Linked DNA regions of Yarrowia lipolytica. The main gene of each other region encodes a partner of the protein of the gene in region 2 in a complex. Links are inferred from orthologs where the notes say so. Each region holds a gene or a part of one and is shown on either strand. Other genes may lie near its edges.

The links.
Region 1: the proteins of YALI1_D14276g (region 2) and YALI1_D26142g are in contact, whole or in part, in a cryo-EM structure (PDB 7Z0H), measured with the Saccharomyces cerevisiae proteins. The link is inferred for Yarrowia lipolytica from reciprocal best matches to the Saccharomyces cerevisiae genes RPC25 and RPC17. Residues at the interface, in NP_012778.1 of Saccharomyces cerevisiae: Phe2, Ile3, Leu4, Ser5, Lys6, Ile7, Ala8, Asp9, Gln17, His19, Arg20, His28, Asn31, Asn32, Lys33, Phe34, Ala35, Asn36, Lys37, Ile39, Asn41, Val42, Cys45, Ile46, Thr47, Ile48, Tyr49, Thr71, Arg73, Lys78; in NP_012523.2 of Saccharomyces cerevisiae: Met1, Lys2, Val3, Leu4, Glu5, Glu6, Arg7, Asn8, Ala9, Phe10, Leu11, Asp13, Glu15, Val16, Phe19, Leu23, Arg48, Pro49, Tyr50, Asn51, Pro53, Glu54, Leu55, Ile58, Asn61, Val62, Asn64, Tyr65, Ile68, Asn71.
Region 3: YALI1_D14276g (region 2) and YALI1_F07675g share a complex: the UniProt entries of both Saccharomyces cerevisiae proteins name them as parts of the RNA polymerase III (Pol III) complex. The link is inferred for Yarrowia lipolytica from reciprocal best matches to the Saccharomyces cerevisiae genes RPC25 and RPO26.

The regions. Positions count from the first base shown.
Region 1 is NC_090773.1:2,610,165-2,620,704, forward strand, and holds YALI1_D26142g (uncharacterized protein), read right to left. Parts: upstream 4,015-10,540; coding exon 3,535-4,014; downstream 1-3,534. Other genes in the region: YALI1_D26114g (uncharacterized protein), read left to right, coding at 1,231-1,358, 1,671-3,165; YALI1_D26146g (40S ribosomal protein uS13), read left to right, coding at 4,430-4,476, 4,827-5,238; YALI1_D26186g (uncharacterized protein), read right to left, coding at 5,530-8,436, 8,504-8,572; YALI1_D26218g (uncharacterized protein), read right to left, coding at 9,548-10,540. UniProt on the Saccharomyces cerevisiae protein: DNA-dependent RNA polymerase catalyzes the transcription of DNA into RNA using the four ribonucleoside triphosphates as substrates. Specific peripheric component of RNA polymerase III which synthesizes small RNAs, such as 5S rRNA and tRNAs.
Region 2 is NC_090773.1:1,421,844-1,432,822, forward strand, and holds YALI1_D14276g (uncharacterized protein), read left to right. Parts: upstream 1-5,812; coding exon 5,813-6,421; downstream 6,422-10,979. Other genes in the region: YALI1_D14224g (uncharacterized protein), read left to right, coding at 597-1,964; YALI1_D14260g (uncharacterized protein), read right to left, coding at 2,095-4,230; YALI1_D14300g (uncharacterized protein), read right to left, coding at 6,886-8,196; YALI1_D14304g (uncharacterized protein), read left to right, coding at 8,599-9,489; YALI1_D14329g (uncharacterized protein), read right to left, coding at 9,631-10,979. UniProt on the Saccharomyces cerevisiae protein: DNA-dependent RNA polymerase catalyzes the transcription of DNA into RNA using the four ribonucleoside triphosphates as substrates. Specific peripheric component of RNA polymerase III which synthesizes small RNAs, such as 5S rRNA and tRNA.
Region 3 is NC_090775.1:763,572-774,296, reverse strand, and holds YALI1_F07675g (uncharacterized protein), read left to right. Parts: upstream 1-6,611; coding exon 6,612-6,640; intron 6,641-6,761; coding exon 6,762-7,191; downstream 7,192-10,725. Other genes in the region: YALI1_F07747g (uncharacterized protein), read left to right, coding at 1-1,730; YALI1_F07699g (uncharacterized protein), read right to left, coding at 2,353-4,320; YALI1_F07655g (uncharacterized protein), read right to left, coding at 7,499-8,206, 8,517-8,571, 8,635-8,708. UniProt on the Saccharomyces cerevisiae protein: DNA-dependent RNA polymerases catalyze the transcription of DNA into RNA using the four ribonucleoside triphosphates as substrates.

The DNA of each region.
Region 1 (10,540 bases), about 1.2 Mb from region 2:
TGATTCGTGAATGTCAAGTAGTACGTATTTATCACTGAACCTGGATTGGAGCTACAACAGTTTTTGCTTGGTACAGCTACTTGTAGATTAGTAGTAAGACAGGAGCCGGTGCTACTGTATACGGTGTACGAGAAAAACTGTTCTAAGTACAGTATTTGTACTTGTAGTATGATGGAGATGGAGTGGATTGACTGGAGAGTTGTGATTAATCGGATGATGGTGTTTATGGGGGCTTGTCTAGTGCCCAAATGACCTCGAAAACGTCTACAACGACTGTTCTTCCCACTGTTATACACACACTTTTGCATGTTCATGTTCATGTTCATGTACAAGTAAATGGTCCATATCTGCCGAAAAAACACCCCCAAATATGTGTCTAGCGGACATAAAGAGCCGTTTAATTCACTTGTTGAAGTGATTTTTCTTCTTCTGATCCAATTGATCCACTAGAGTCTTCTCTCTCGCCTCGTGTTACTGCTGCGACATATGTTCAGATAAAAACATACCAGATGCTTTGGTACATAAATAAAAGATTGTAGATAGATATTGAGCACTTGTGTATTCTTCCAAACAACTTCTTACTTCTCTAGTGTACTGCCGTCGCCCATGGTGGTCCTGGAACAACATCTTAGGCTCTTCAAACACATATCTCCGTCACTGGAGCTAGAACCAGAAGAGAAGGGTGTATGGGGACTTCAAATATGTATTCCAATAGCTCATAATGACCGGATTTAATGGTATTTTCTTGACATTTGAACCTCCTCGAGTATTTCAGATGGTTCTATGCCATCATGACACTCGAGACTCACTCCACAACACACGCTCAAGCACCAGCAGAATCAATAAAAATATACAGTCGCATGACAATTTCACCACAAAAAGCCAACTGCAGCTTTTGGAAAATATTTTCCTCTCCTTCCACGAGATTCCGCAGGATTCTACCGCTTAGTCAGCTTATCCAAGACAAGACGCCTCGCCACGCATTAAAGTTATCCCAACTTTTCTCTACTCTTCGAAATCTTGATTTCTTCTGCTAAGTGCACATTCAGATCAACCACAAAATCAACAACAATGCAAGCTCCTGTCGTTGTTATGAGTGAGTATTGCGTGCTACCGCGTCCCACGACTTGCCCCGTGTTGTCCGCGACGGGTTTTGCGGCACAAATCGCCACCTAGGTCTGGTGTTATGCTCTACGTGTAACTCCAACATGACTAAGAACACCATGCGAAATGGTACCCGGTGGATACAAAAGGGGCCGCAAAAACACAATCGACGAACAACTACTAACTGCAGACGCCGGCCAGGAACGTCAAATCGGACGAAAGGCCCAGACCAGCAACATTACTGCTGCAAAGGCGTGAGTATGGAGTGTGGAGGGTGGAATTGGAGGGGTGGACGGCCTCTGAAGCAAATTGGAGGCAAATTGGGGCGTTTGGGGTAGCTGTTTTACCCTTTATATGTTGTTTGGACTTCCAATTTGGCTGTGGACAGCTGCTTCGGCCATCTTTTCTTATAGGGCGGACATTTGATTTGTGGTGATATCAAGCTGTAGAGTCGTGTTTGGGGGAATGCAACACCACCATTGAACTCCTCCCGACGAGTCGACTCCGCCGGTTCCATCATTACGCTTATCCAACATCCACCACCCTCAGAAATGTCACTAACCCAGTGTCGCCGATATTGTGCGAACGTGTCTTGGTCCCAAGGCCATGCTTAAGATGCTTCTCGACCCCATGGGAGGTATCACCCTGACCAACGATGGTCACGCCATTCTGCGAGAGATTGAGGTCACCCATCCTGCAGCCAAGTCCATGATCGAGCTGTCTCGAACCCAGGACGAGGAGATTGGAGACGGAACCACCACCGTCATCATTCTTGCCGGAGAGATTCTTGCTCAGACCTTCCCCTACGTGGAGAAGAACATTCACCCCGTTGTCATCATCGCCGCCCTCAAGGATGCACTTGCTGAGGCTCTCAAGGTTGTAGAGGAGATTTCTGTTCCCGTTGACGTCAACAACGAGGCTGCCATGAAGAAGCTCATTGCCGCCTCCATCGGCACCAAGTACGTGTCCCGATGGTCCGAGCAGATGTCCTCTCTGGCTCTCAAGGCCGTCAAGACCGTTGCTGTCGACATTAACGGCAAGAAGGAGGTTGACATCAAGCGATACGTCCGAGTGGAAAAGATTCCCGGAGGTGAGATTGAGGACTCCCGTGTGTTGGACGGTGTCATGATCAACAAGGATATCACCCACCCCAAGATGCGACGGCGAATCGAGTCTCCCCGTGTGGTGCTGCTTGACTGTCCTCTCGAGTACAAGAAGGGTGAATCTCAGACCAACATTGAGATCAGTAAGGAGGCCGACTGGAACCGAGTGCTGCAGCTGGAGGAGGAGCAGATCAAGGCGCAGTGCGAGGTGCTGCTATCGGTAAAACCCGACCTGATCATCACCGAGAAGGGTGTGTCTGATCTGGCCCAGCACTATCTGCTTAAGGGCGGCTGCAGTGTGCTTCGACGAATGCGAAAGAGCGATAACAACCGAATCTCACGAGTCACTGGCGCCACCATCGTCAACCGAATCGAGGACATCAAGGACTCCGACGTTGGTACTCTGTGCAACCTGTTTGAGATCTCCAAGATTGGTGATGAGTACTACACATTTATCACAGGCGAAGACCCCCAGGCATGCACCGTGCTGCTGCGAGGACCCTCCAAGGACATTCTCAACGAGATTGAGCGAAATCTGGCTGACGCCATGGCTGTGGCTCGAAACGTCTTCTTCGAGCCCAAGCTGGCTCCCGGAGGAGGTGCTACAGAGATGGCTGTGTCCGTGCGACTGGCCGAGCATGCCAAGACCATCGAGGGTGTTGCACAGTGGCCCTTCAAGGCCGTGGCTGATGCCATGGAGGTGATTCCCCGAACCCTGGTTCAGAACTGTGGTGGTAATGCCATTCGAACTCTGGCCACCCTGCGAGCTAAGCAAGCCGAGGGTTTCTCCACATACGGCATTGACGGTGACAACGGAAAGGTTGTTGACATGAAGGAGTACGGCGTGTGGGAGCCTGCTGCCATCAAGCTGCAGAGTATCAAGACCGCCATTGAGTCTGCTTGCTTGTTGTTGCGAGTCGACGATATCGTGTCTGGAGTTAGAAAGAAGGGCGAGTAAAATGGGTTTGGATAATGATATTATAGATGTTTTGCGACACACTGCAGTGTAGTCATACCGTTTACAACACCGATACTGCCTTTGAAAGTTGATGGCTCTGTACAAATCTTGGTGTAGACATTGGGCTGATACTGTATACACTCCGATGAACAAGACCACAAAGAGAAACAAAACTGGTAACGGTATTTATGACACTATCAACTCTCGTGTGTACTTGTACTTGTACTTGATTGATCAATCGTTATTGTTCATTAAATTATATGCAAACGTGTCCTCCACACTTTTCCGTAGTATACATTGTTTTGGGTGTGTCATGGTTGAGTCGACTGCCAAAAGCCTTGTCTTCGGCATCTGCTCATTGTGAACTCGCTATTCAGCGATAGCATCCTCTTCACTGACCAGAGTTGTTCTAATCGCGTCCAGAATCTCCTCACATTGGTCCTCATTGTAACGCTGATCGCACTCCTCGATCAGGGAGTATAACGACACGATAGACGTGGGCACGGAGTTGATGAGCTGCAATCGCTCGGCCTTTTCGAGCCCCAGATGGTTGATCTTCTGCAGAAACAACGTAATGGCCTCTGGCGACTGGCTGGCAGCAGGAGACTTGTTGAGATAGTCCTTGAGCTCGTAGATGACGGTTTCGAGGTTTTCGGCATGGGAAGTGCCCTGGTTGGAGGCTGCCGACGCGGATTGGGACATTCGTCGGGCACGCTCCTGGTCCCGCACGTGAGCCAGCACCTCAAAGTTGGACAGCAGAGCCTCTCGAGTTTTTTCCACCTTCATGTTGTTGATAATACTGGTATATTCACGACAACACTTTTTTTCTGAATTATGCAAGGTGTGCATGAACTCACAGCATCTTAGGAGATCCACACACGTGAGTACAAGGCTGTAAGATGTGCCAAGACACCCGAAACGGATATCTGTGTCACTGTGATGCTGTATTTTTGAATACTCTCGGATCGGTAGATTTTTGCCCTTCTCAAATTGTGCGCTTAGTAAGCAAGACCACAATCCCAGAGCTGGTTTAATTTAAGCTTTGGAACTCCCAAATTTAAATGTTTTACATCTTTGGGGATCGAACCTACGACCGCACGTTGTCCTCCTGCCTCTGTTTTCATGGCTCTTAGGGCTAACCCTAAGTGTCACATGATATTTCCGTTTTGGATAGAGTTGGACTCGGAAAATTGCAAACGAAAGTTCAGTGTGTAAAGCACCAGTTCTTTCATCATCACCGGTCGACCCATAACTACACGCCAAAATGTCCCTCGTCGTCACTGAACAAGGCAACTTCCAGCACATTCTTCGGTATGTACAGACAGCACAGAGAGAACAGGGAGAGAATTTATTACACGATTATTGAAGCTCGATATGGTGGTTTGTGATGGAGATACAGAAGGCACAGAAGGTCAATGATGAGTAAAGACGGGTCATGCGACATGGAAAGGACCAAGCAGACTGAACATGTTTGAGCATTTGTTCTGCGTGTTTACACTATGTGTTCTTACCTGTTTGCGTACATTTGTCTGACTGTCAACTTCTGCCTACCACTTCGTTTTTATGATGCTTGAGATTTGATGGATCGTGATCAGTCTCATCAAGGGCCACTAATCGGTGATCACTCCCTTCAGCCACTAGAAAGTATTTTGCTAACTCAGACTCCTCAACACTAACGTTGACGGCCGAATCAAGGTCATGTACGCCATGTGCAAGATCAAGGGTGTTGGTCGACGATACGCCAACCTGGTCTGCAAGAAGGCCGATGTCGATCTCTCCAAGCGAGCCGGTGAGCTCACCGTCGAGGAGCTCGAGCGAATCGTTACTATCATCCAGAACCCTGGTCAGTACAAGATTCCCGGCTGGTTCCTTAACAGACAGCGAGACTTTACCGACGGTAAGGACTCCCAGCTGCTCGTTAACCAGCTTGATGTCAAGCTGCGAGACGATATTGAGCGACTCAAGAAGATCCGAGCCCACCGAGGTCTCCGACACTACTGGGGCTACAAGGTCCGAGGTCAGCACACCAAGACTACCACTCGAAAGGGTAAGATCATGGCTCACCGAGGTTAAAACGTGCATGTACATGTAAAATTATTAAAATGCTATTGAGGACATGTGTAGGGCTGACCAGGTCAGGCCGCGGTTTGTAGCAGGACATGTTTGGGCCGTTTGGCTGTGTGTAGACAAGTACTGTACCACCATTCCCAGCTGTGTGTGACGAGAATCACAGGTTCAAGTGCAGTGGATCACATTGGACCTTCTGCGTGCAAATCTGGGTATATCGCACACTGTGTTGAGCAGATAGCAGTCTCATCGCCTACACATGTGATTAAATATGAATAAAATTACTGTACAAACACCCTAGAACAAGTCGGGCATGTCAATGTCGCCGCCAAAGTCCATGGTGAAGTCGTCGCCTCCAAACATGTTAGTGTCCATAAACTGGTTGTCAGTGTTGGAGTTTTGCGACGAGTCGTTGATGGGCTTATTCTCAACCTCGCCCGTTCGGTTCACCACAAACGAATAGTCCTCTTTAGCATGTGGTTTGCCGTCCAGACGACTTCCGTCGGGTTTGTAGCCTGCTGTAGTCAACAACTGCAGAATCTTGGACTGCAGCAGCACGCAAATGTCCTTGCTCTTGCCCGTGGAGTCGTTGACCATGTTATCGAGTGACTTGAGAATGAGCTGTGAGTCGGAAAACGGTCGTGGACTCTTCACAGACGTGGAAATGATGAATGCAACCGTAGCAATCGTAGCAACAACTTCCACGGTATAATGGCCTGTGCCGTTGGAGTCCGCCAGCGCAATCTCCTCGATCAGCTGCTCCAGAACGTACTTATGGCCCAGAGTGTCGACCGACGACAGGATCATCACAAGCTCGTATCCAAACGGGGGACCCGTGTACTGGTTTTGCGACCAACTGATGAGTGACGACACCTGCTCCTTGATGGTGGCAATCATGGAAGCACCGTATTTCCACGTCTGCTCCTTGGTACCACTTCCTCCACCCCCACTCATACCGATTCCCTTTTGCGATCGGAAACCAGAAGACGACACTGTTCGCTGCACGTTGAGATTGTAGTTGATGGCCGAAACAAAAGGCTCGAGGAACTCAAACACCCGGTTTTCAACCATGTAGCCTGCCCTCAGAGCCATATCCAGAGCCTCGTACATTTCGTCAGCACATATAGCCAGCACCATTTGATGAATAGGAGACAAGACCTCAATGTCAGTGTTATCGGTGAGAATTAGAGTGGAACAAACAGATATAACTGTACTCATCTGCTCGTCGTGTCCCTTTTGCGAATGCACCCATAGTTGTTCCGACAACCACTTGAACACTCCCACTGTTGATCCCAACAGAAAGGGCTGCAAAAAATACTCCAGGCCTCCCTTGAAGGTCGACAGAGAAAGTAGGCCCTTCTCGTGGGCGAGCATGCTTTGTTGAAAAATGGCAGGGGTGACAAGAAAGAATTGCTTTACGGATGACGATCGCATTAGATCGTCGGAGATGCCTCCAGCGTCATACAGAGCGGTAGCCCATCCACTGAGCTGGTCGTTCTGTTCGTCGGAAAGATGGAAAATGCGTTGTGAAGAGTCGCTTTCTGTGAGAAGCTGTGACAGAAACAACTCGTGTGATGGCATGGTGCTGGAGGGCGAAGGAGCACCCACAAAGAGTGTTCCAAATTGGTTCAACAGGGCCAAATCGAGATGATAGCGCTGCTTGAGGGTGATGGCAAAGACCACAATGGCTCCAAAGTCCGTGTAAGCTTCTTGGTAGTTGGCCTCGTCCTCCTCCTCTCTCCATAGCTCAATGCAGTCGACCAGAGCCTTGAGTAATAGCATGGGATCGACACAAAGGGCCATAATGTCGACAGCAGTTGTGTTCAGTGCCAAAGCTTGGCACATGTATCGTACTGGTCGAACGTTTCCTGCCTGCACAAAGTCTGCCAGGCACACTAGCAGCCGTTTGGTCAGCGCTTCCTGTGCGTTTCCACTCAGCTTCTCCATCTGAGCGACCACCTTGGACATGAGACAGTCGGAAACAGACCCAATCTCGAGATTCTCGTAGCTCAGCTGCTCTGCCATTGTATCTAGGCTCATAGCCTGTCCGTCGATCGTCAGCTCGTCTGCGTAATCGAGGGCTTCTACGCTGATTCCTGAGTCTTTGAAAATCGCGTTGAAGGCGTCTTTGGGCAGAACTCCTTCGGAAATGCATGCAGCAACCAGTTCGTGTCTAATGTCAACGTCCAGGCCACCCGGGAACGAGGAGAACATGTCGTCTAATTCGTCAGAACCGATGGAAAGACGAATAAGGGTCACGGTAGGCTGATCCAGGCCCAGAACACTTTTTGAGACGACGGATTGAATGAGCGTCTTTTCCTCGGGTGTCGAGTGCGGGAACAAAGTGCGAATAATGCGCGGGATTCGTGTTCGGATGCAGCTTTTCCAGTAGTTGTTTCTTTTGGCAGAATCTCGTCGCAGAAAAGTGATGCTCTGACAGTCAAACATGGCGCAAATAACCTCGCCAATGATTGCCAGACGAGACTGCACGGGCTGCGAGGCCAGAGTGGGGTACCCGGGCATGGCATAGACCGTGCTGATGAGCTGGAACAGGGATCCATACTGGTTCCAGGATGAGTCTCCAAACATGAGGCTTTCAAACAGCGTGTCTCTGTAAAGTCTAGTGAGAGTCGTGGGTGTAGCCACGGTTGCCGCTACTGTTTCAGCTGTGGTGCTGGTCTTAGCTGCGCCCTTGAGACCCATCCAGGCTTCGCCCAGTCTTCCGGCAATGGTAGCATCGACCTTTGCTAGTTCTGCGAGCTGCGAGGTGATCTCGGGAGCAGTCACTCCGGCCATTCTGTCTCCGAGTCGGGTCAACAGGACCTCGGCAAAGAACCCGAACCCCTTGGCGATAGACGTTCCATATCTCTTTCGCATCCCACCTCCAGAAGCAAAGGCGTCCTTCATGAACGAAACCAGAACCTGAATCAAGTAGCTGTAGCCCGCATTGGCACCCAAATCCACGTCTGTGTCCATTTCCTGAAGCTGTTTGCCCAGATACATGAGCAGCTGGGGAAGACGGCCATAGGCACACACCTTGAGGTACGCCAGAAGCTTGTAAGGGGGCAAAAGACTGTCTTCAAACGCCAGCTTGTGCACATATGCAAAGAACAACAAGTCGAAGGTGTTGGCTCCAAACAACGCCTTGGGATTCACTTCCGAGGCGCCCTCATTTTCCATCAAATGTCGAGTCAGCTTGACAAACTGTGTTAGTAAGGCAAACCGTCGAATTGAAAAACAGAAAGTCACATGACTCCATAGTCGTACTCACCCTGCCCGCCGACACTCGCCGAGCCAAACACACCCGTGTCAACGTCGCCAGCTTGTCGTTGAAGTCCATGTCGATGAAGTGATGATTCGAGGTGCGACTCCCGCATCTAACTGTACCATGCGGAAACTCAAACTGATTACTAAGATGAAGCGCTTATGGCATGGATTACAAAGAATGGTGACAATTATGGAATCGCAACGGCTTACTTATCGTAACATTTGTGGAATATCACCTGACCAATTCTGCAGTACATAGCTCTCCTTCTTCATGACAAATTCTCCCCCAATCCACTCCATAGACAGTCTTCGGGATATGAGACAGAACTATGTAGAATGTACTGTACATTGTACAACTGGAAACTGGAGACTGGATAGGTGTGACCACGTGACCAGGTAGCTTGGGAGTCACGTGATGTGTATCTACGTCCCGCCCCTCCTCCCCTTTGTTTTATTCCGTCACGTGACTACACACCTACCAGGTTCACTCCACCCGCTAAGTTCAGATACGCTCGCACTGTAAAACGGCCGCTGACTAGGCACCGCTGTCATGTGAACAACCTCAACTTCAGCAGTCTTCGCCGCACGTGTGCTGAGAGCGGTTTGCATGATGAGCGTCAGGCGGAAGCGGTCGTTGAGATGTGTTAATCCATTACTCGTAGTCTACTTGGATAGAACATGATCTACTTCCACGGTCGACTTTTCAACTACTAATTACGAGTACGAGTACTACCATTGGAATGACAGACTGTATGTAGACAACTCAGACGGCTGGACTTTTGTTGTCTACAGCAGTGGTGAGCAGGTGGTTGGAGACCTCTTCATTGGCAAACATGTCTAACCCCAAACACACTGCCTTGGGCCACATGTTGAGTCTTCGACCACCACCCTACTGTTGATGAAGTCTCGAACACACGCTTGCCATATGCTATCCCCAATGCTACCTGTACAGTACCCCTGGCCACCACACTCAATGCCACCATGTCTCACCGGCTGAGTTCACAGAGCATCCTCTATACCCTCCAGCTCTACTATCACTATACATTAACTAGTTCTGAAAAGCAATATAAACGACCAGCAACACCACAAAACTGGCCGCAATTTGGACCGTCAGCACGTTACCAGAAGATCTGGATTTGGCTGGATTAAGCGAAGGACCCGTGGTCCCATTTTCGCTGATGATAACGAAAGAGCCATTCACAGTAGCAAACGAGCCGTTGGTTGCACGTGCGTTGGCCCTCGAGGGAATGGCTGCTTTGGTATCCGTGTGGTATCCTGATGGGGTATCGTTGGTATCAAGGAGGGGCGGAACAGGCACAGCCTTGGATGGAAGTCCTGTGGCGGTATCAGCAGTGGAGATGGCCGTGGGAGTGACCTGAGCATCTCGAATCTCGGAGCCCACAAAACCAGTAGGGCTATCCAGAGCACGTGCAAAAATCCGCTGGTTGCCTTCGTACCGGTCGGTCGGCTCTGCGTCAAAATCGCGGTACTTGTCAGCAACTGCAAGGCGCGTGTTAGTAGCAGCAGCACCGGGGACAAAGCGAGCAGAACCAGTTCGACCAGCGAACATCTGAGCAAACCAGGGGAACTTCTTCTTCGACATGGTTTGGGTAGCTGTGGGGGCGCCGTACTTCTTCGTGATGGTCTCGGTCTCAGTCTCAGTCTCGGTACATGTCTCAGTAACGGTATCATAGTAGCTAGTAGTGGTGGTGACGTATTTTGTAAACACCTTCTTGACAATCTTGGTCCGCGTCTTGTACTGAGTGGTGGTCGATAACGAGTGGTCACAGTCAGATTTGGGCACGTCTTCCTTGTCCTTGGGACACTTCTTGCACTTCTTGTCGTGGCAAGTATCAGGGTTGTGGGGTTCCTTGTCTGAGTCCTTCTTCTTTTTGCACCACTTGCACTTCTTCTTCTTGCACGAATCGGGATCGTGGTTCTTGGGAGCCTTACAGTGCTTGCAATTCTTCTTCTTGCAATTCTTGGGGTTGTGAGAAGGGGGTGGAGCTTCGTCCTCGTCGTCATCGTCGTCGTCGCAGTC
Region 2 (10,979 bases):
CGGCTAAGATACAATTGTAATTCATAGATCTCTCCCATGAACATACTTCGTCTCCACAGCTTCCGAATTCCGTTATATTCTGCTTTCCATTAGCCGCCAAGTCGACATAAATCAATTTGTCAGCCTGAACTCTACCTTAGTGTGGAGAATATGAGGTCAAGAGCCGTGTCCTAGCGAACCAGTTGTGTTGTAGTTACGTTGTAGCTGTAGTCAGTGTCTGTAGTCAGTGTTTGTAGGTACGTAGCCAGCTGTACAACTGCTACAATGCCGCTTTTACAGCTGAATATGATACAACGCCAGTACCACTCCTTTATGGCACCTTATGGACTGCTCTGCTCTTACTATCACTCACTCTGAGTCCATGTCTTTTGTGTTATACCACTGTCTCATAATGGCAGGAGCTGTAATAGCATGTATGTGGAAAAGGGATTCACAAAACTGCTGATTGGACTTTGGCTCGAACGGGCGACGCTTTGGAGTTCCACTACGACTCCGTCCTTTCTCGGTATCTCCCCCACACTGCATGCATTAGAGTTCAGAATTTATCACGACATGAAAAAGGTACGGACAGATAGCTACTGTAGACATACACCACCATGAACGTCTTCTTTGAAGGATGTTGCCACGGAGCTCTCGACAAGATTTACCAGAGGGTAAAGGGATACCATATGCCCGTGGATCTGGTGATGATTGGAGGTGACTTTCAGGCCGTCCGAAACGAACGGGATCTGCTCTCGATGAACGTACCGGCCAAATACAGAGAGATGCACGACTTCCACAAGTACTACTCGGGTGAATCAACGGCTCCGTACCTCACCATCATCATTGGAGGCAACCATGAGTCGTCAGGGTACATGCAGGAGCTGTACTACGGAGGATGGCTGGCACCTAATATCTACTACCTAGGAGCTGCTGGAGTGGTCAACTATAAGGGTCTTCGGATTGGGGGAATCTCAGGTATCTACAACCAGCGCAGCTACAAAACTGGTCATCACGAACGACTTCCCTACGACAACTCTACCATTAGAAGTGTATATCACGTCAGGGCCCATGATGTGATGAAAGCTTCTCTTATTGATAACGGTATTGATATCTTCATGTCTCACGACTGGCCCGCGGGCATTGAGCACTTTGGAAACACAAAGAAGCTGCTCGATCAGAAGAAGCATTTCAGAATCGACGTGAAAAACGGCACTCTGGGGTCTCCTCCTGCAATGGAGCTCCTCAAGCGGCTGAAGCCTGCCCAATGGCTCAGTGCACATCTTCATTGCAAGTTTGTCGCCACTGTCGACCACGAGAAGCTGGAGGCGGCGAATGGAGCCACCAAACAGAGATCTTCTCCTGAAATCAAGAACCCAGACGAAATAGTTCTTGATGAGTTGGAAGACACGAACCACGAGACAGGTGAAATCGACATTTCTGAAGACATCGACAGTGGAGAGACTGGAGAGATTGATATTTCCGAGGACGTCAAAGGTGAAACCGACATTGATGCAAACACCACACATGATGAAGCCACTCCCGTGATAGCAAAGAAACCTCTGGCCAAAAAGACTGACTTTCTAGCACTGGATAAATGTCTTCCTAAACGCCAATTCATCGAAAGACTCGACATTGACCATGAGCCTACCTCAGATGGGCTTCAATACGACCCCGAATGGCTGTCTATTGTGAGATGCACAAACCACCTTTTTACCAGATCACACGCCCTTCACCAAGCACATCCTCGAACTTTGGATGAACTGCAAGCTCTCAGAAAGATGGTCAAAGACGACTATGCGTGGGTCAAGGAGAACATTGTCGACAAAGGCAAGTTAGACATCCCCAACAACTTTGTCCAGACAGCTCCAGTGTATACAGGAGCTGATATTCACAATGTGTCTCAGCAGAAACAACTACCAAAATACAAAAACCCTCAAACCGAGCAGTTTCTGAGAATGCTCGACGTCCCTAATAAGCTGTAACATACTAGAGTATGAACAGATACTAAATCATTTGCATCTATCGGATAACTCGTCACTACAGGATAATTCCATTAACGTACTTTTCATTTCATATACATGCTTAGTAGACAGACAGACAACCCTACTACACTTAGTAGACTCGCTTGGCGGGAGGGACGGTAGGACACTCAGACTCATCGAGGGTGTGCATCTGGACGGCTCGGTAGCCGAGCTTGATCTCGTCACCGGGCTTATCCTGCCAGGAGAGGGTATGCTTCATCCAGTTGACATCGTCTCGGTCGGGGTAATCCTCTCGGGCATGGGCACCTCGAGACTCCTTTCGGGCGACGGCAGAGTAGGCGGTCTGCATGGCGCAGGTGAGCAGGTTCTGCAGCTCGAGGGTCTCGGTAAGATCAGTGTTCCAGATCATGGATCGGTCGGTGACACCAACCTGGTCAATGAGTCGGTCAACAGCAGTGATACCTCGGACACCATCCTCAAGAGACTCCTGGGTTCGGAAAACGGAGACATCCATCTGCATGGTTCGCTGCATCTTGTCTCGAATGGTAGCGGTGGACAGAGGACCGTCGGCGTTTCGCATCTTGTCAAGGTTAGCAATGGACTCGTAACCAATGTCAGCAGAGACAGGGGGAAGAGGAGCACCGGGGGTAAGAGTCTCGGTGATTCGGTGGGCAACGGCTCGGCCGAAGACAACCAGATCGAGCAGGGAGTTGGCTCCAAGTCGGTTGGCACCGTGGACGGAGACACAGGCGGCCTCACCACAGGCGAACAGACCCTCGACAACCTTGTCCTGACCGTTCTCATCCTGAGTAAGGACCTCACCGGTGTATCGCGTGGGGATACCACCCATGTTGTAGTGAACGGTGGGGAGAACGGGGATGGGCTCCTTGGTAACGTCAACACCAGCGAAAATGGCGGCGGTCTCGGAAATACCGGGGAGTCGCTCGTGGAGCACGGAGGCGGGCAGATGCGACAGCTGGAGGAAGATGTGGTCGCCGTGCTGGCCAACACCTCGGCCCTCTCGGATCTCCAGGGTCATGGATCGAGACACGACATCTCGGGAGGCCAGATCCTTGGCGGTGGGAGCGTATCGCTCCATGAATCGCTCACCGTTCTTGTTGAGCAGGTATCCTCCCTCACCTCGGGATCCCTCAGTAATCAGACAGCCGGAGCCATAGATACCGGTAGGGTGGAACTGGACAAACTCCAGATCCTGGAGGGGAAGGCCGGCTCGGGTGACCATGGCCATACCGTCACCAGTACAGGTGTGGGCAGAGGTACAGGAGAAGTAGGCTCGTCCGTAACCACCGGTGGCCAGAACGGTCTTGTGGGCTCGGAATCGATGCAGGGTTCCGTCCTCCTGGTTGTAGGCAACGACACCGACACAGGCGCCGTCCTCCATGAGCAGGTCCATGGCGAAGTACTCAATAAAGAAGTGAGTGTTGTGTCGGAGAGACTGTCCGTAAAGAGAGTGCAGCATGGCGTGGCCGGTTCGGTCGGCAACGGCACAGGTTCGGTAGGCCTGGCCTCCCTTACCGTAGTCCTTGGACTGACCACCGAAGGCTCGCTGGTAGATTCGGCCCTCGTCGTTTCGAGAGAAGGGAACACCGTAGTGTTCCAGCTCGATAATGGACTTGGGGGCCTCCTTGGTCATGTAGTGGATGGCGTCCTGGTCTCCGAGCCAATCGGAACCCTTGACGGTGTCATACATGTGCCACTTCCAGTTATCGGGGTGCATGTTTCCGAGAGCGGCGTTGATACCTCCCTGCGCAGCGACGGTGTGGGATCGGGTGGGGAACAGCTTGGAGATACAAGCGGTGTTGAAGCCAGCCTCGGCCAGACCGAAGGCGGCTCGGAGACCGGCTCCACCGGCTCCAACAACAACACAATCGTACTCGTGGTCGACGACGGCGTACTTGGACGCCACGTGGGAGGGGGCCTCCTGGGCCTTGACGGGGCCGTTGGCGAAGACCTTGGCCACCACCGGGGAGGTGGAGAAGTGACGAGACTTGAGAACGGCTCGGGGGTTTTTGATAGCTCTAAGCATTTCTGTGTTAGTTGTGTTGTGGGGTTTTCTGCAGGCGTTGTGGGGTGGAGAGGTGTTTTGCGTATTCCGGTAGGTAGAGAATAGTTGTCTGGATGATTTACTGCAGAGTGGTCCGCAGTGACTGTATATAGTGGTTGTGGTATCAGAGGGTGTGTTGTGGGGATAGACTGTGAGAGCATCGGCGGTTGACAGACTGAAATTTTCAAGACAGTCTGACATTCAGAGTATCCCAGCAACTGGGTGAAAGAAGCAACACCGGTCAGGTTCGCGTGTACCTTTAAGCATTGGTTCTTGTTTCACTGAACTCGTGTCTGTACCACTTGCTCTCATTCACACCTCACATATCCACATGTCACACTGAATGTGTTGTCTAACATACCACGAGAGAACCACCAAACCATGGCACCGACAGAAGAGTGGACCATAAGAATGATGCTGCGAAGCATAGGCTCCGTTGTCATCGTCACGCCAACGCACTTGTGATAACCTCTCTCCTTCACGCTTGCCAACATGCTCGCCACGCGTACAGCCAAACAAGCTGCTGGGTGTCCCACTTCTCCTTTTGCCGAACGAAAAACCTGTTGCACTGAGAGATACCGGGCAAGACCGTCCACATCGTGGGTACGAATGGCTGCCGTCAATGTGCCTCGAAGCGCCCCGTCCTCCGCCGCGCAATTTGCTACTCACCGACTCAGATCGACTTGTATGGTCTAACCAAAAAGAGAGAGAGAAATAATCTGCGTGCGGCCAGTTGAAAGCCCACCGAGCTTAGGTAATGCGGGCCATTGGCCAATGACATGCGACCTAATACTCACCAAACAAAGTTTGGACACGTCCGGGATGAACCGGATCAAGATTCGCGGTGTTTAATTGGCGGGTTCGGCAAGACGAAGACGTGGAGAATCCGAATTAATTTATTCACATACTTTATGGGATACTTTTCCAACTCGCCAGGTGTCACAATCTTGACGGTAGCCCCACGAAACCTCTGGGGTATGACCACACCCATTCGCACCATGTCCTATTGGGCTAGGCTTAACCCCCGTAAGGTTTTCCGGAGAATTATTGTGGGGAATGACGGAGACACTTTTTAGCAGCAACCCCTAAGGAAAGGAAGTGCAATACGAGTGCCAACGCGGCGGTTGTGAGGGTTGCGGGCGTTCCTCCAGCTTACGTAATTGCTTCTTCTGCCCGTCTCACAGTACCGGTACGATCCCCGTTACAATCACAGGCTTAGAACACCTAAAATACGACTGCTGGGTGACCATGCCTCTTCAACGACTTGGGGGCGATCCTACTGTCGGGCTGTGGTTGACGTTTTTTTGTTGGTCGGTCGACATATCGGCCCGGGTTAGGGTAGTGTATAAATGGCACTAGAGCTGCTCGTATCCTCCGCCTCGTCGACGGGTGTCATGGCCAATTGCGTTGGGTTTAATTACCTTGGGAGTGGCCTGGGTTTTTTTTTTTTTTTTTTTTTTTTTTTTTTTTCTTGTGTGTTTTGTCAGTACAGTATGTGTGAATATTCGAAATTAAGGTGCTAAGGTGTCCGAATGGAGAAGAGCGGTTATCTCCGTATTTCTAGGAGGTTATTCCGCTTTGGGAATTTGTACGTTTGTCCTTATTAGGGGTGACTATCGTGGGCACTGCTGGTACCGACTCTTACTAAGCGACATTGGGAGTTGTGTAGAAAAAGTGAAGATGTGGTTAGGGATATGCAGTGCGATGCAGACCTTAAAAAATATCCAGCTACACCGTGCAACTATCATCAAGATTGTCTCTGAGTTGGGTCTCATCCATCGCAATGTTCATTCTCACGCGCTTCACAGATCTCATTCGACTCGATCCCACCAGCTTCAAAAAGCCGCTCAACGACGCTATTGTGGACGAGATTAACAACTGCTACGCTAACAAAATCATCGACGGAGTGGGTCTGTGCATCTGTGTCTATGACCTGATCACTGTCGGCGAAGGCCAGGTCATGTCCGGCGACGGTGCTGCATTTGTGAAAATCACCTTCAGAATGGTGGTTTTCCGGCCGTTTGTGGGAGAGGTACTAGAGGGCTGGATCTCCAGCTGTACCGCGGAAGGAATCAAGGTGAAGATGGAGTTCTTCGACGACATTTTTATCCCCGCACACCTGCTGTTTGAAAACTCGCAGTTTGTCGCCCGAGAACAGGCCTGGATGTGGTGTCCTGACGAGGAGCAGGAGCTGTTTTTGGATACCAACGAAAAGATCCGGTTCCGAATCGAACAAGAAAAGTTCCAGGACCTGCCTCCACTCAAGCAGGGCTACGCTGGAAGTGCTGCTCCTAACGACGAGCAGGACCCCGAGAAGCCAGGTGTTCCTCCTTACTCTCTGATTGCCAGTTGCCAGGGAGAAGGCATGGGTCTGGTGTCTTGGTGGGAGTAATCAACAGAACCATGTTCCTTCAGGTACATCTTGGTTGACGGTTGGAGGAGGATATATATATGCATTATTAGGTGTTCCGGACAGCACTCTGTATTCCGGGCACACTCTTGTGCTCCTTGGAGTATGGACACAAGGCAAACAAAAACAAACAAGCAAACGCAAAGAAAAGGACTGATTATGAAATAGGACTGCTAAGAAGCAGTGGGGTTTTATATAGATAGACAAAGTCACAAATCGCATTTTTATACAACATCAGGAATTACGTATCATCGACCTCTATCAATGTACTTGCGGCCAGTTACCTCGAGTGACGAGATGGTCAACCGCTCAAAAACGATTGAGGATAAGCATTACATACAAGTCTACGTTGTCTGTTACAGCACAAAGCGCGTCTCTCTACTCATTGGTACAAGTGCTTGTACCATTATCATAACATCATCTATTATTACCTCTATCTTCACAGACTAGTTGTACTGCATGTACTGAGAAGTACTGCTAAACTTGAGGTTACCCTTAATGACCTTCTCGACGGCAGCCAGGAAGTCCTTCTCAGTGGCGACCTTTCGGCGGGCTCGAATGGCAAACATGCCGGCCTCAGTGCACACGGATCGCAGCTCAGCACCAGTGGAGTTGGGACACAGACGCGAAATGAGCTCCCATCGGATATCTCTGTCGACAGACATGCTCTTTGAGTGGATTCGGAAAATGTTAGCTCGGCCCTCGAGATCTGGCAGTGAGAACTCGACCTTTCGGTCAATTCGTCCGGGACGCAGGAGTGCGGGATCTAGAGTGTTGGGTCTATTGGTGGCAAACATGACCTTGATATTTCCTCGAGGATCGAAACCGTCGAGCTGAGTGATGAGCTCTAGCATGGTTCTCTGCACCTCATTGTCTCCTCCGGCTCCGTCATCGAATCGGGCTCCTCCAATGGCGTCGACCTCGTCGAAGAAAATGATGCAAGCCTTCTTGGTTCGAGCCATCTCGAACAGCTCTCGGACCATCCGGGCACCCTCACCAACGTACTTCTGCACTAGCTCGGAGCCAATGACACGGATAAAAGTGGCGTCTGTTCGGTTAGCCACGGCTCGTGCGCACAGAGTCTTACCGGTTCCGGGGGGTCCGTATAGAAGAATACCCTTGGGAGGGTCGATTCCGAGGTTGACGAATCGTTCGGGAGACAGCAGAGGCAGCTCGACAACCTCTCGCAGCTTCTCCAGCTGCTCCTTAGAGCCTCCCACGTCCGAGTAGGTGACATCGGGCTTCTCCTCGACCGTCATCATGGTGACGGAAGGGTCGATTCGGGGTGGCAGAGGCAGCTGAATCTGGTACTTGGACCGGTCGACTCCCACTCGCATCCCCTCCTCGATATCTGTGGGCGACACTCGCTCGCCCAGCGACACGACAAACTTGGCGATCTGCTTGACGTTGATGACGTACTTGCTCTTTCCGGGGTCTTCAGCAGTCTCGATAATCTTGGTGCATCGAGCCACCTGGAGAGGATTCTCCTCGCTCATTCGCTGCTTGTCCATTTGTGTGTCCCACAGGTGGTGCGGGGCCAGACCTGTGTCGGACTCCTTGATGCCGACCTTCTCCTGGATTCGTGCTTGCATGTCCTTGATGTCCTTCTCGATGTTCTTGAGGGCAGTACCATAGGGAGCAGTTCCGTACGTCTTGAGTACCTGGATGTCGCCCTCGGACAGAGGAATGATCTTCTCCTGCGCGGCATCCTCGTCGATGGGGGCCTTGTACTTTTCCCAATCAGATTTTGGTGGCATTGTATGTGGTGGTTTGTGGTGGTGGTGTCGTGTGGTGTTTGATGTGTGGGACTTTTGGCTTTGATGGAGGTTAGGTGGAAGGTGGCAATGTGCAGATGCGCGGTTGCACTTAGTAATCAGGTGGCAACAGAATGGAAGGAGGGATGATAAATGGTCACTTGGATAGAAATAACAATCTGACGATTCCCAGAGGAAATGGCTATTTAAAAGTTCCCCACGTGGCCATGCTCTCGTTCCACGCAGTTCTACTGCCTTCCACCTGGTCCAAGTAACTACCAACTGTACTCCTAACAAAAATACTTAGAATATGCCTATCAATAACCTCATCGCTATCAACCTGCATATGGAGAAAATAAAATCAATTGTAGCCAACAATACACAACACTTAGACAACACCCATGAATGTCGCAAGCGACCAATAAATACTACCCGCCAGATTACGACGGCAAGTCGTCCGCCAACCAGCTTGCGGGAGCGAATCCGCGCAAACCAACTGTCAGATTCGAGCTTCCTCTGTCTGCCAAATGCCATGGATGTGACAAGACCATAGCTCAAGGAGTACGGTTCAACGCGGTCAAAACACGCCACGGCAGCTATCTGTCGTCTCCCATCTGGCGCTTTGATATCAAACATGCTGAGTGTGGACATCCCATTGTCATTGAGACGGATCCGAAGAACGCTACCTACGTGACCGTAGAAGGAGCTACCTTCACACAGTCGGTTGTGAAGAGAGAGGAAGAAACTCCAAGCAACCCTTTTGAGGCGGTCGAGCGTGAAGTCGTCAAACAAAGGGCTGCAAAGGCCGAGGAGGAGCTCAAACAACGTCATATTAAGTCCGAAGACAGCAGAGAGACAATCGCTGAATGGACCTTCAAATCGTCGGTGCTTTCGGCTGATGACGCGGCCAAAGAGACACAGAAAATGTATGATGAACATCTGGACAAAGCCAGATACCACCAGGACCTGTCATATAAGATGAGGAACAGGTTCAGAGGTCAAAAACGCGCATTGGAAGCCCAAGACCAAAGAGACAACCTTCTCAAGGACAAAATGGGACTTCTGCGGGATCTACCTCTTGCTAAGGAAGCGCAAGTGATGGTTCCTCACCTGGAAAGGGGTTTAGTGGCGGAGCAAGAACTCAGGTTGAAGTCTCTATCCCACGGTGGACTGTTTGATTCTACCAAGCAGAAAGGATCACTTGCACAACAAACTAGAGAGCTCTCCAGAACGCTACAGTCTAAGCCACGGCCGAAATTGAAACTCAGAGGGATCAAGAAACCGGCCAAACAATAATGCCAGTATATACTGTACTTTTACTACTATTTATTCTTATTACACTACTTAATACGCCCTGTATACTCTTCATTTTCATTTGGCACCTGCCTCTATTATTAAAGTACATCTACTTAAAACCCCATGCTAAAACCACTGATACTAACCAAAGATTCGGAGACCGTCGTCGGGAATAACCAACTCCTGCTCCTCCTTTTCTTCCTTTTCTTCCTTCTCCTTCTCCTCTCCATCATCGTCCTCGTTGAAGTTGACTCGCTGCCCCAGAAGACCGGCAAACAGCTCGTCGATCTGATCGTCCTCCCAGGTGAAAACCGGCCGGGGAGCAGCAAAGTTCTGCACCTTGTCCTGCACATGGTATCGCAGCTTTCTACCCTTGGATGCTCTTGTGTCCACGTTCTTCTTGGTCTTGGCCTTTGTGGCAGTCCAGGTCTTGACGCCACTGCTTTGAGAGCCGGAATCCACCATTCGTCGGTCAATCAGATCCTTGAGTAAGTTTCGGTAAAAGTCTGAGTCATCAAAGATGTAGTAGTTTTCGCCCTCGGCGTCCTGAATGGCGCCCATCTGTTCCTCGCCAAGAATGACAACGTTGGATCGATTCATTCGAGTTCGCTTGACAAGTCGGTCCATGTCCGCCAGAGTAGCAGCGACCTGGTTGGCAGAAGACTGGTTCAGAGCCTTGAACTTGGAGGAGTTGAGAGCGGAGGCCGCAGATGAGGCCTGCACCTTCTGAGACCACTTGCTCAGCACAGAAGTCTCGTATGCCTTGAATTCTGTATCCAGCTTGTCCATGTTATCCAGAGTGGCATCAAAAGTTCGCTTGGTCGATAGCTTGACGGAGTCGGCAGCAAACACATTGTCCTGCACAGCCATGTTGTGTCGCATCTTGGCTATTTGGGAGATGAAGTCCGACAACTTTGCCTTTGTGTCTTGAAGAGTGTTGGTGATGTCTTCACCGAGCTCCTCGGCCTTAGTATCGCTGATAGGAAGAGCGTTGGCAGACTGGACTGCCTTTTGGAATGTGATTCGCGCGTCCAGAAGTGTCTCGTATAGATCGGTCTGTTTGTGAATGGCGAATCCCTTTTGTGCGTCGGAAACAATAGCCTCCTTGGCCTGCTGCTTGGACGCCTTCTTTTCCTCCCTCAGCAGCTCCTTGAGGGTGGCTCTAGCCGAGCTGTCATTCTCGTTCTCAGACAGCTCTTCGTCAGACTCGTCCTCATCCTGCTCATCCTCCATGTCTTCATCTCCGTCTTCGTCCTGGTCCTCTTCATCAACCTCAACTTCGTCGTCAATGAAACCATTGCCTTCTCCCTCCTCATCGTCCTCCTCATCGTCCTCGTCGTCCTCATCAATGAAACCGTCAGCGCCATCGCCGTCCTCGTCCTCGTCGTCATAAAGAGCCTTCCTGCTCACCTTGCCGGCCTTGTACTTGGGGTTTAGAGCAGGAGCATCATCTCGCAGCTTGCTCTTGCCGACCTTGACATAGTGCTCTG
Region 3 (10,725 bases), on a different chromosome or scaffold from region 2:
ACGACTTTATCGACGATGACCGCAACTCGCCGGCCGCAACCACCACCCATAACTCCCACGTTAGCCCAACAACCACACTGCCGTCACAGGCCAAGCCCCAGACCCACCGGTCGCCAGCAAACCTGACTCCTCCAGGCCAGCCGCCACAAAAGTACAGTGGTAATGGGGGAAACAACGGCTCCAACGGAAACAATGCGAGATACCCGTTTGAAATGAAGGTACCTGGAATCACCCCTAACGAGATCTTCCACTCGCCGCTGTCGGAGCCCATGGACCCCCAGAACCAGAACCTGGCCAACGTCTACGACGATGGATCTTTCACGCCGCTGGTATCCCCAGCAGTATCGTCCTTTGATCCTCCCATGAGTGGCCACTCGCTCAATTTCGCCATGCCGAATGCCTTCCTGTCCCTGGAGCCCTCAGATGGACACCCTGGTGTCATGATGCAGCAGCAGCAACAGCAGTATGACGATAAGAAGGGCGGATCGGCATCTGCACCCTCTTCGGCAACGCGAAAAAGAAACTCTGTGGCCGGACGAGCTGCTGCTCCTCGAGGAGGAAAGGCTCGGTCCGGAAGAGCCACTCCAGTCGGAGGCACCCCCGTGATGGGTCCTCAATCTGGAGCATCATCCGTGGCTGGCCGGGTGGCCAAAATGTCGCCGATGACCCGACCCACCGGTCGAGCAAGTGCCCGGGCAGGATCTCTTTCAGGCCCCAACTCCGTGGGAGGTTCTCCATTGGTGAACCCTTTGGTGTCTGCTTCCGGAAACAAAGACTCGTGGTCCTCAGACAGCATTTCACCCGAGTCGTTGCCGGACATTGTCATGCCACCTCCGCAAACCCGGTCGTCGGTTTCGTCGTCGTCTTCTTCGGGTCACATGAAACCGGCCACTCCCTCAACTCTAATGGACCTCCCTAAGGGCCAGAACGAGGACATTGATATGAAGGACGCCAACAGCGCGCTGGAGGACGCCATCCGAGTGACTCGTAACCTGACTTCTTCGCGGTCGTCTGTTTCACTGGCGTCCACCGGTGCCACTCCTCTCATGAGCGACGCCAACATCTCGCCAAACACAAACATCAGTAGTGTCTCGTCGACACCTCAGATTGCTGCCAAGAAACAACAGCAGCAGCATAGTGGCAAGAAGGGCAGCATCAGTGGTAGCAGCAATGGAGGCAGCAGCAGTGGAGGAAACGGCCCTGGTAGCAGTAAGATTGCGCCCCAGCCTCCTTCGCGACGATCCTCTTCCGTGTCTGCCTCGCCAGCACTCATGCCCAAGATCTCTCCTCAAATCAAGCCCATGATGTCCGAGGGCTCGTCCCTGGACTACCAGACGCTTCTGGCGACAAAGTCCAACTATCAGAACATTGTTGAGGGCAAGCACAACGCTCTGGGACTCCAATATCCTGAGCATCTGAGTGTGAACATTGCCTCCAAACGCACTTCGCACAAGCTGGCGGAACAAGGCCGACGAAACCGAATCAACAACGCGCTTGCCGATCTCGGAAAGTTGCTTGTGCCCGAGTCGGCGTCTACATCTAAGGCCAACACCGTCGAGAACGCCATTGACTACATTCGCAAACTCAAGACGGAGCTGGTCGAGGTGACCACCAAAGCCGATCGTCTGCAGGCATTCCTTCAGGCCAAGGGTCTGTCCGACGAGTTCGAAGCGACCATGGGGGTGTTGGTCAAGGAGGAGGATAAGAACTGGCAAGGCGCTGAATCCTAGGGGGGAAGCCGAGGCTGACACCTAGCTAGCGCCAGAGATGCAGCATGCAGCCAGGTATTGGTATTTATATTTATTACAGTAATGGAGAGAAAAAATACGAGTGTGGTGTAGACAGTTCATCAGCGCATAACGTACAGCAGATAGTACATACAATGCAGAGGGATGATACGGATACTAGAAGGGAACTGAATTACTGCACTCTTTTTGATCAACTTGATATCTGCCTGTGGTGTATCTCTTTTTCATTTATTCTAACATCTGTTCACCATTTGGGTGTATCCTTGTTTAGTTCGCTTGTTGGCTCTTTATGGGAGTTGGTTCATTTTGGGGCTCTAAAAAAAGGTGGAGGTTTGAGAGAGGGTTGGTTCTGTAGCTGATGTAACAGAATTCAGAAAATATCTTTTTTTGTACTAATAATATTCTCTTCTGTCGAAGATTCAAGATTTTTTAACAAGTACCGTTTGTTAGCAACTTTGTGGGTCTGTACTTGACCACAAGGTGATAGTTTTGATATTGATCCTTTCAGTATACACCTAGTCACGACCGCTCCCTACCGCTCCCATTATAAATGATATGCTATTGATCTATGTATGCTAACGTTCTTTTTCTGATGCTTTCCCCCCTACTGTCGGAACAACTCCGGGTCAATAGAGTCCTTGGTAAAGTTGACCTCTTCATTGGACGAGTACTCCATATCATGTCCGCCAGCCAGAATCGAATGAGACAGGGCAGGCGACACGTAGGCCGAGGACATGGCACTGAGCGGCAACGAATCAAATGGAGCGTACTCCACAGCCTCATTGAGCTGCTGTAGTGGAGCAGGAGACCCGATGGATCCCGGAGTGGGAGTCTGGGTAGGGTATGAAGTCACACTGATAGGGCTGGTGTGTTGGATGGGTTGGTATGAGTTGCCATACATGTGCATAGGGCTCTCGGAGTGTGCACGCTGCGGCACCTGAATGATGGGGCTGTGCAGTGGGCTATTGTACGAGGAGTTGGACTGTCCTCGGGGGGCGTTTCTGCGCAGTCCAGGAGTAGGATAATGCAGGTTTTTGTACATGTTCTGAGAGGTAGTGTTAACAGGTTCAACCTCAGGCGTCTCTCCACGAAGGTATGCAAGATGGATTTTGATGTGGGCGTCTGGGGAGGCCTGGTAGCACTCTGCCGGCCACTCGGTGCGGTGTTCGTCGCTCATGTGGTCTCGGACCTCGGTGAGAATGTGAGATCCAAACGGACAAACGGCGCAGTTGGTGGCATGGTTGGCAGCAACGTGGCGGTCGAGATCGTACTTACGGTTGAACCGATGCATACAAGTCTCGACCACGCAAGGGATGGTTCGAGAGTCCGAGTAGCCGGCTCCGGTGATTTTGTCGACGATGCTGGCAGCGGTGTTTGTGGGTTTGGAGACCTCTCGCCGTTGTCGTTTGGCTGGGCGTTCGCTAGGCAACTGGTACTCCTCTTCCCCAGACTTGCCCTCCAGACTCGTTCGCTCTGAACGGCCTTTTCGCGTCAGCTTTTCGGGCTTTTCAAAGTACGGAATGATCTCGGGTGTAATGTCGTACTCAGCCACCGACTCAAACATGTCGCGAACAGGGGCCTTGTTGTGCGACACGTAGTGTTTGGCATACAGGTCCTTGTCGAAGAATTGGTGACCACATGACTCTTCAGGGCACGTCCAGAGTTGCCGCACGTAGCCTGGAGTCCGGTGGCCGCCTCTGTAGAGAACAGACAGACCGTGCACGCTCTTCTCATGCTCGTACATGGACTGCACGTCGTCAAAGATGCCTTCGCAATGGTGACACAGCCACCGGTTGTGCGCCTTTGAAACATGCTTCTGCAGCTTGATCCACTGTGAGGCCACCTCTTCGCACTCGTCATGCGGACACTTGTACTGCGGCGTTTGGTTGTGGTCCCGTTCCCAGTGGTATTGCATCTGTCTTTCGGAGCCAATAGCGCGTCCACATTCGGGATAGGTACACTGGTGCTTCCAGGTGGCGTGGTCGGCCACACAGTGCTCCAGCAGCTGCACCTCGGTGCGACACTGCTTGGAGCAGTCTTGGTGTGGGCAGTGTTTTATCGACTTGTGGGTCACCTCATGACGCAGCAGGTGCTGGCGCGTGTTGAACCCCTTGGCGCAAAACGAGCAGTGGTATCGTTTGGCCACCGTGTGACTGTTTGTGTGGGCTTTGAGATGCGAGCGGCGGAAGAAGCCCTTGCCACAGCCCTCATAAGTGCACACAAAGCACCGCTCGTTGTAATGGGACCGTAGATGTTGTTTTAGGAGCGATGGCCGGCTGTATGCCTTGTCACAGCCCTCTTCGGGGCAGACGTGAGCCAGGGTCCGTTTGACGGTGGTTTTTTCCTTGGGCACATTGCCGTTCCACGCATCGCCGTACGTCTCTCCACGGGTCGGGAAAAACAGACCCTTGCGTTCTGGCACTCGTTTGGGGTTGCCATGGGCGTCCTTCACCTCAATCCACTCGGAGGACACCGGCGACGACGCCGAAGACGCCGCGGACGTTGGCCGGGACGGAAGGTCATAGTGCGTGATGCCATCTGGAGTATCCGACAATTCTGCTTCGTGAAACATGCTCTTAGAGCTGACTCTCGAGAGAACAAGAGGTGGATCGCTATATATGTAGGGGGAAGAAAAAAATCCTGTATCAAAACTTTATTTGGCTGAGTGGGGGTAGAGGGTCCTGTAGATAACGCTCTGGGGGATACATTCAAATTTTGAAAAGTGCAGATTATTCAGATTTGAGCCGCTATTTACTGCGATACAAATACATCTTTCGCATAGCTTCTATCGTCTTCCTCGTGGACACTCATCCTTCCCCCCCCAAGCAAGAAAAAAATAAAGGCGTTAACTTTCATTTTTCCCAACGGTACCTCGTTTTTTTTGGATGGCCCAAGGTACGTTCCAGAAGAGCCGAATCGCCACCAACGAGTCTGAAAATGGAGCTGTGACCAAATTGAGACATTTGAAACAATTTCACGTGACCAAAATGATCCCTCCATGTCCCCCTACTCCCGGAATTCCTCAAAATCACTTTGCGTCACGGTACATAAGACATGCATCTGTCGAAAAATATATTTAGCTGGGTCAGGGTGGTGTACGGGAGCAGTGACCATGCCGCTGGTACTGTACCTACTGTTGTGAAACGGTAATGGAGTTGGCGAGCACTACCGGTAGCGGCGAAGTGGGTAAAATGTACGCCCTGTGTCTTTAACTAGCCAATCAGAGCGTTCATAAAAAGGAAAGTCCACTGGATTTGCCACAAGCCATGCCTTTCTAGTTGCCATTGTAACACCCTCACGCTCTCTCTCGCACTCCGCTCGCCACCTTACATCCTGTATCCTGTAGCATACATTTGACAGCGTCTGTGCAAACCAAATACGAATGACATGAATGCCTGCAGGAGACGCAAGTGGGCCCAGAGTGAGCCACCGGGGCCTATCATATGTCCTACGAGTCATTACAAGGTCTCATAGCGGATTGGGTGGTGGTTGCGGAGCCTGTTGATTACTTGGGCGTTAGTTGGAAGACAGTAGGCTGATGATGAAGATTCTGGTGATATAGAGATGCCGCAAGGATGAAAAGTGGGTTTGTGGACTATCAGAGAGAGACAAATGGAATTATTCCCGAAAACTCCACCTGCTATATACAATTTTCACGAGATTTCGTTATCGTGGATAGCACTTAGATGCAACAACTACACGACATTGTGTGACAGTAGAAGTGAAAAATTCTACAAGTATCAGTACTGATACTCTGATAATCTACAAGTATCGGTACTAGTACATACTGTACTCTGATAACCTCTCCGTGTACAGTCATATCATCAAAATGTATACGCAGTCACAGTCCCTCATATTGAAACGGGCAGTAGCTCGCAACACAGCATTGTATGTGACAATGAGGGAGGATAACTACACCAAGCAAGTGAGGAGATCACCCTGATTCACATGGTAGTATTAATATCCAAAACATGGGGTACCTGGGACGAGTAGAGTGGCTCACAGGTGTGTTTCTACCCGAAACTGGTTGGACACCGAGGTGAAATCGTGAATAGTTGAGATACAAGGTAACAAAAGACGGGAACAGATTATTCAGACCCGGTTAGGTTGGTTTGACTGCTGGAATTTCGGATATGCAATTCTCAACGCCGTTCAGATCAACCCTCTTGTTACGCTGGCAGGTTATGAAGGGAGAGAAGAACAGATTGTCAACACATTACGTGATCAGATATCATCATCATCTCAGACATAGTGAGCATATTTAAATCGTCTGTATTGGTTGTATATCAGTTACTAACATACAACCAACAAGCACGAGTACATACTGTACTGTACTTGCAGTCGTAACCTGCTCAGATACTCCTAGATGTTTCAACTAAAGTTCTAACAAAGTATCAATGTCTTTCCCACAAACCAGCATCAACATATCAACTTTTTTTGTATTGCAAGAGAGTCATTTTAATTCATATTAACACTTCTCAAAGCTGTATAATTCAAATGGAATAAATACTAAGCATCTACCATTACTGTAACATTGTATTTGAACCTCCAGCTGACTTTTGATCTTAACAAATCTCCAAGTAATCTTTCCCATAATCCAAACCTCGCGCAGTAAGTAATCAAAAAACAAGACGACAGAACGTTCATCCGGAACACACAAGGTGCCAACAACCCACATCTCTGAAGTCGCGAGACTGTTTCTCTTCGGCGGTCCCCGCCTCCCCGGGCCAAATACTTCTGGCTCCTCCTCCATTGCAGCTTAGTCATATTGAACTTTGATTGTTTTTTTTTTTGACTGGGAGTACATCAAACCTTGCGTGGAAAAACCATCATCACCACATTTCAGTACCACACTTGATCATCATGTCTGATTACGGTGGAGACGAGGAAGCGTGAGTAGGGGTAAGGAGCGCCAGGAGGGATCACGTGCGTTTTATGGGGACGAACACGTGACTCGCGTCGTCCGATTACGTCCACAACATGGCCCAGCACCCAGCGCCCAGACTAACACAGATTCAACGACAACTTTGAAAACGCCTACGAGGAGGAGTTTGAGGAGCACGTTTCGGATGTGGAGGAGAACGGCGAGGAGGTGAAGACGGACGTGGCCGAGGACGGACGTCAGATCGTCAACGGAGAGGGCGTGGAGAACTTTGAAAAGGCTGTGCGACGAAAGACGGTCCGAGAACTGGCCATCCCTCGAGAAGAGCGAACTACCACCCCATACATGACCAAGTACGAGCGGGCCCGAGTGCTGGGTACACGAGCGCTGCAAATCTCCATGAACGCGCCCATTCTCGTGGACATTGAGAACGCCACGGACCCTCTGCAGATCGCCATGAAGGAGCTGCAGCAGAAGAAGATTCCTCTGGTGATTCGAAGGTACCTGCCCGACGGCTCCTTCGAAGACTGGGGATGCGACGAGTTGATTGTCGATCAGTAAGTAATTGTAAGATAGCATAGATGGTTTGGAAAATGGAATGTGTCCTGTAGAGTACTGGTCGCCGTACATAGGTGCATGATCATGATATTGTATCACGTAATGTATCTCAGTAAAACGTCCGGGGGCCTTTCTCTCTTGGACTCGTTCATCTGTGATGGTTATAATCGATGTCCCTTACATCCAGCTGATTCATCCATCTGGTGCATCCATTTGAGCTGAGACTGCTGCTCGTTTGTCCTTTACGATGGCCATACAATATAATACATTTTCTACCTCTAACCGTTTTACTAGTAGCAGTCCCTTCCTTCTACTCTCCGTAAATCCAAAACTGACAGAAAATGACAAAGTCAAGGAACAGAGTGCCAATGGCTCCAAGCAGCCACGAGGCGTTGATGATGAGATACTGCCGGCTGGTATCTTTGAGCAAAATGGAAGCCACAGCAGTGAGGTTGCCGAGACAGGCAAACAGGAAGAACATGAAGGAGATACCCTCGCACGACTTTCGCTCGTAGTTGAGCACAATCTGAGGCACCCGAGAGCCCAGGTAGAAGGCAGCACATAGCCAGCCGAAAAACTGACCCAGCATGTTCATCTCCAAAGGATCGTCGTGGGGCTTCTCGGGCTTACCGTCCTTGTGGTTGTTGGACGAGAAGACGTAGCCCAGAATGCCGGCAGCGATGACGGTGGCCACCATCAGCAGACGGTAGAAGATGACCTTGGCTCGCGGCACGGGTTCGGTCACGGGAGCAGGACGGGGCTCGGCATCGTGGCTGGGATCGGCCTCAAGAAGAGGTGTGGCGGGAGACAGGTGCTTGAGATCAACCATCTTGTTTCTGTGTGTGTACACCAGACATTGCAAGAGCAGCAGAATGTCGGCCAGGGTGTAGTAGATGGCGAGGATGATCATGGTGGGGATGATCTTTTGGAGGATGGCTCCGAGCACATTGAAGATGTCTCCAATGAGCCAGATGACGACGAAGGAGAGAGACAGTCCTTCTGACGATTGTCGTTTGAACTAGGTTAGTGGGAACGACAACGACTGCTTGTGGTCATGGTGGAAGCAGGTCTACAGGTTAGGGGATGACTGACAACAGCGTCACATCTGGTACCGGTTTCTATCCAAGTCCGCAAAAGTCCGAAACTGAAATCTTGCAACTGGAGCTCATAAGTCAACGTCACTTTTCTCGTGATTCATACCATAATCACTCCACGGATCTTGGATATCAGCTATTGCAAAGTAACTTGTCGGCGTATCGAAATAACCCCATTCGTTGATATCCCCCTGCCACTCTGTCTGCATCACTCCCGGTATCTCCGATACTCACATTCTCATAAATCTGGGGCGTGAAAACAATGATCCAGCAGGCGATGGAAATGCATCTGTGTTAGTATGATAGCAGTTCTAAAGACACCAGGTCGGTCGATTTCCCCTCTCTAACTCACCCCATAATGCCGCTGAGGGCTGATGAGTCTAGGCCATGAATTGGAGGTTGTACTGCGGTGTACACGGCGTCCATATCGAGTCGTCGTGTGCGTGTCTGTGGTTGTGGAGAGACAGATTCCAGCTGCGATGACTGAATGTGCAGACGCTAAATAAGGTTGGCATTATACGGGAAAAAAAGGGAAAATTTCGCTAAAGCAATTTTAACGATCTCGAAGAGGGAGGTCAGGAAGGGAGTGGTGGAATAGTGGGCAGATAGAAGGAGCAGTTTTGTAGATAGAAAGAGCCGTTTTGTGGCGTTTGGAGAGAGAGCGGTTTCACGAGAGGTTTATCTATATATCACGACCGTCTCCGCCCACTCTCATCAACTCGTCGGTGCATGTTTGCTGCTCAAAGTTGGAGTTAAAGCGCCGTCTTTCTGACTACAGTACAACCACATCAAGTACAAGTACTGGTATGTACTGTGTGTACTATGACTACATCATCGTACCTACAGCAGCTCCATGTGTAAGGCAGATGATTAGTGTACATGCGCGTGATCAGTGATGGTCTGTTTCCGGACTCTTGTTTCAAACCTGCACTATACTATCAAATTAGTCGAAGTGTTAGTTGAAGAAAAATGTCCATGGAGAATTGTTATGTCCGCTGCGGAGATACTATTAGTATAACAATAGTAGAATGATGGTGGGTATACTTATCGATAGCTATAGGTTTGAAAAAGACGGACTTCTCTTAGATCCAAGTTTTTGTAGCAGAAATATCCCCTGTTGTCGACATTATAGTCCTCCTTAGATATGCAATCATAGTTGAGTTATTAGTTGGCTTTCTCGACAATTCTCTAGATACTGACCATGTTAGTGGATCGGGTCAAATGTCATCTAGGCACTTTATGAAGTTTCAAGAACGTAGAACAAGATATATTCGGCACTGTAGAGATATTCGGCAAGTGTCAGCGTACGCAGACGGATGGAAGTTTACTTATAACGTCATCTTCTCAACTGACAGACCACGCAACTGCTGGCGTTGATTTCTCACATGCTCGGAGTTAGTCTCATCTGTGGGAGCTAACTCCGGCAGCACTCTGAAGAGCACCAACAGAGCCGTGGCAATAGTCATTGTGGGTATTCATCATGTCTTCCATAATCTGATACCTCATCTTGCAAATATATCACTCAGCATGTTCATATTCGGGGTTTCAACAGTTCGAGAACAGCATCAAAATACTTCGTAGAGTAAGAAGGAGAGCCGAGTATCAGAAGTGTTGTTTACAGAACGTGTTCTGTTTCGAGCCGAGAATCAGAAGCTGTTGTTTACAGAAAGTGTTTCATTATTGTCCGTTATAATCACACTCGCGCATCATCAATTGATGTTTCCCCCCAGCTGTTACCAAACACACTGTAGTTGAATACAGTACGTACAGTACATACTGTAGATGTTGTCGGAGTAAATACTGTAAGTCGTGCTCTCAGTTGGACTCGTACAATTGGAAGAGTCCTATAGTAAGAATAACTACTACAACGGTTCATTCACAGTATCTTTCAAACACCTAACAGAAAGATCGAACATACCTCTTTATACCCTCAATATTGTTGGTCTGGACGCATGTTAGTACATCTACCACTCAATGGTACATGTATGGTACATGCTACTAGTACTGTACATACAGTAGCCGACTGTGCCTCTCAGCGTATTGAAAAGTAATCGAGTATTGCCCAAGTAAACTAAATACCACCAAAAACTTCTTGCATCTGACTTGAGGATCTTCAAACCATCTTCATACCGCCCTTTTCGACTTCGGGTCCTTCAAACCACCTCTACCGACTACCCTATACACCTGAGCTCACTCCAACCAACTCCCCCAATAATCATCCGATCTTGATAATTTTTACACCATTCTACTCCTCTAGTTATTTCTACCACAATTCTCTCTTCAGAAATTCAATCAATTCAATATTACATCAACCATCTCCAGCTCTCGACCATGCAGTATGGGCATTTCGAATGCCTTTTTTTTGGGCAGAATTTAGACTTTGGAGCAGCAGCACAGTATGAGACGACCAAAGACGGGGTCTACAAAACCTATAAAATGGCAG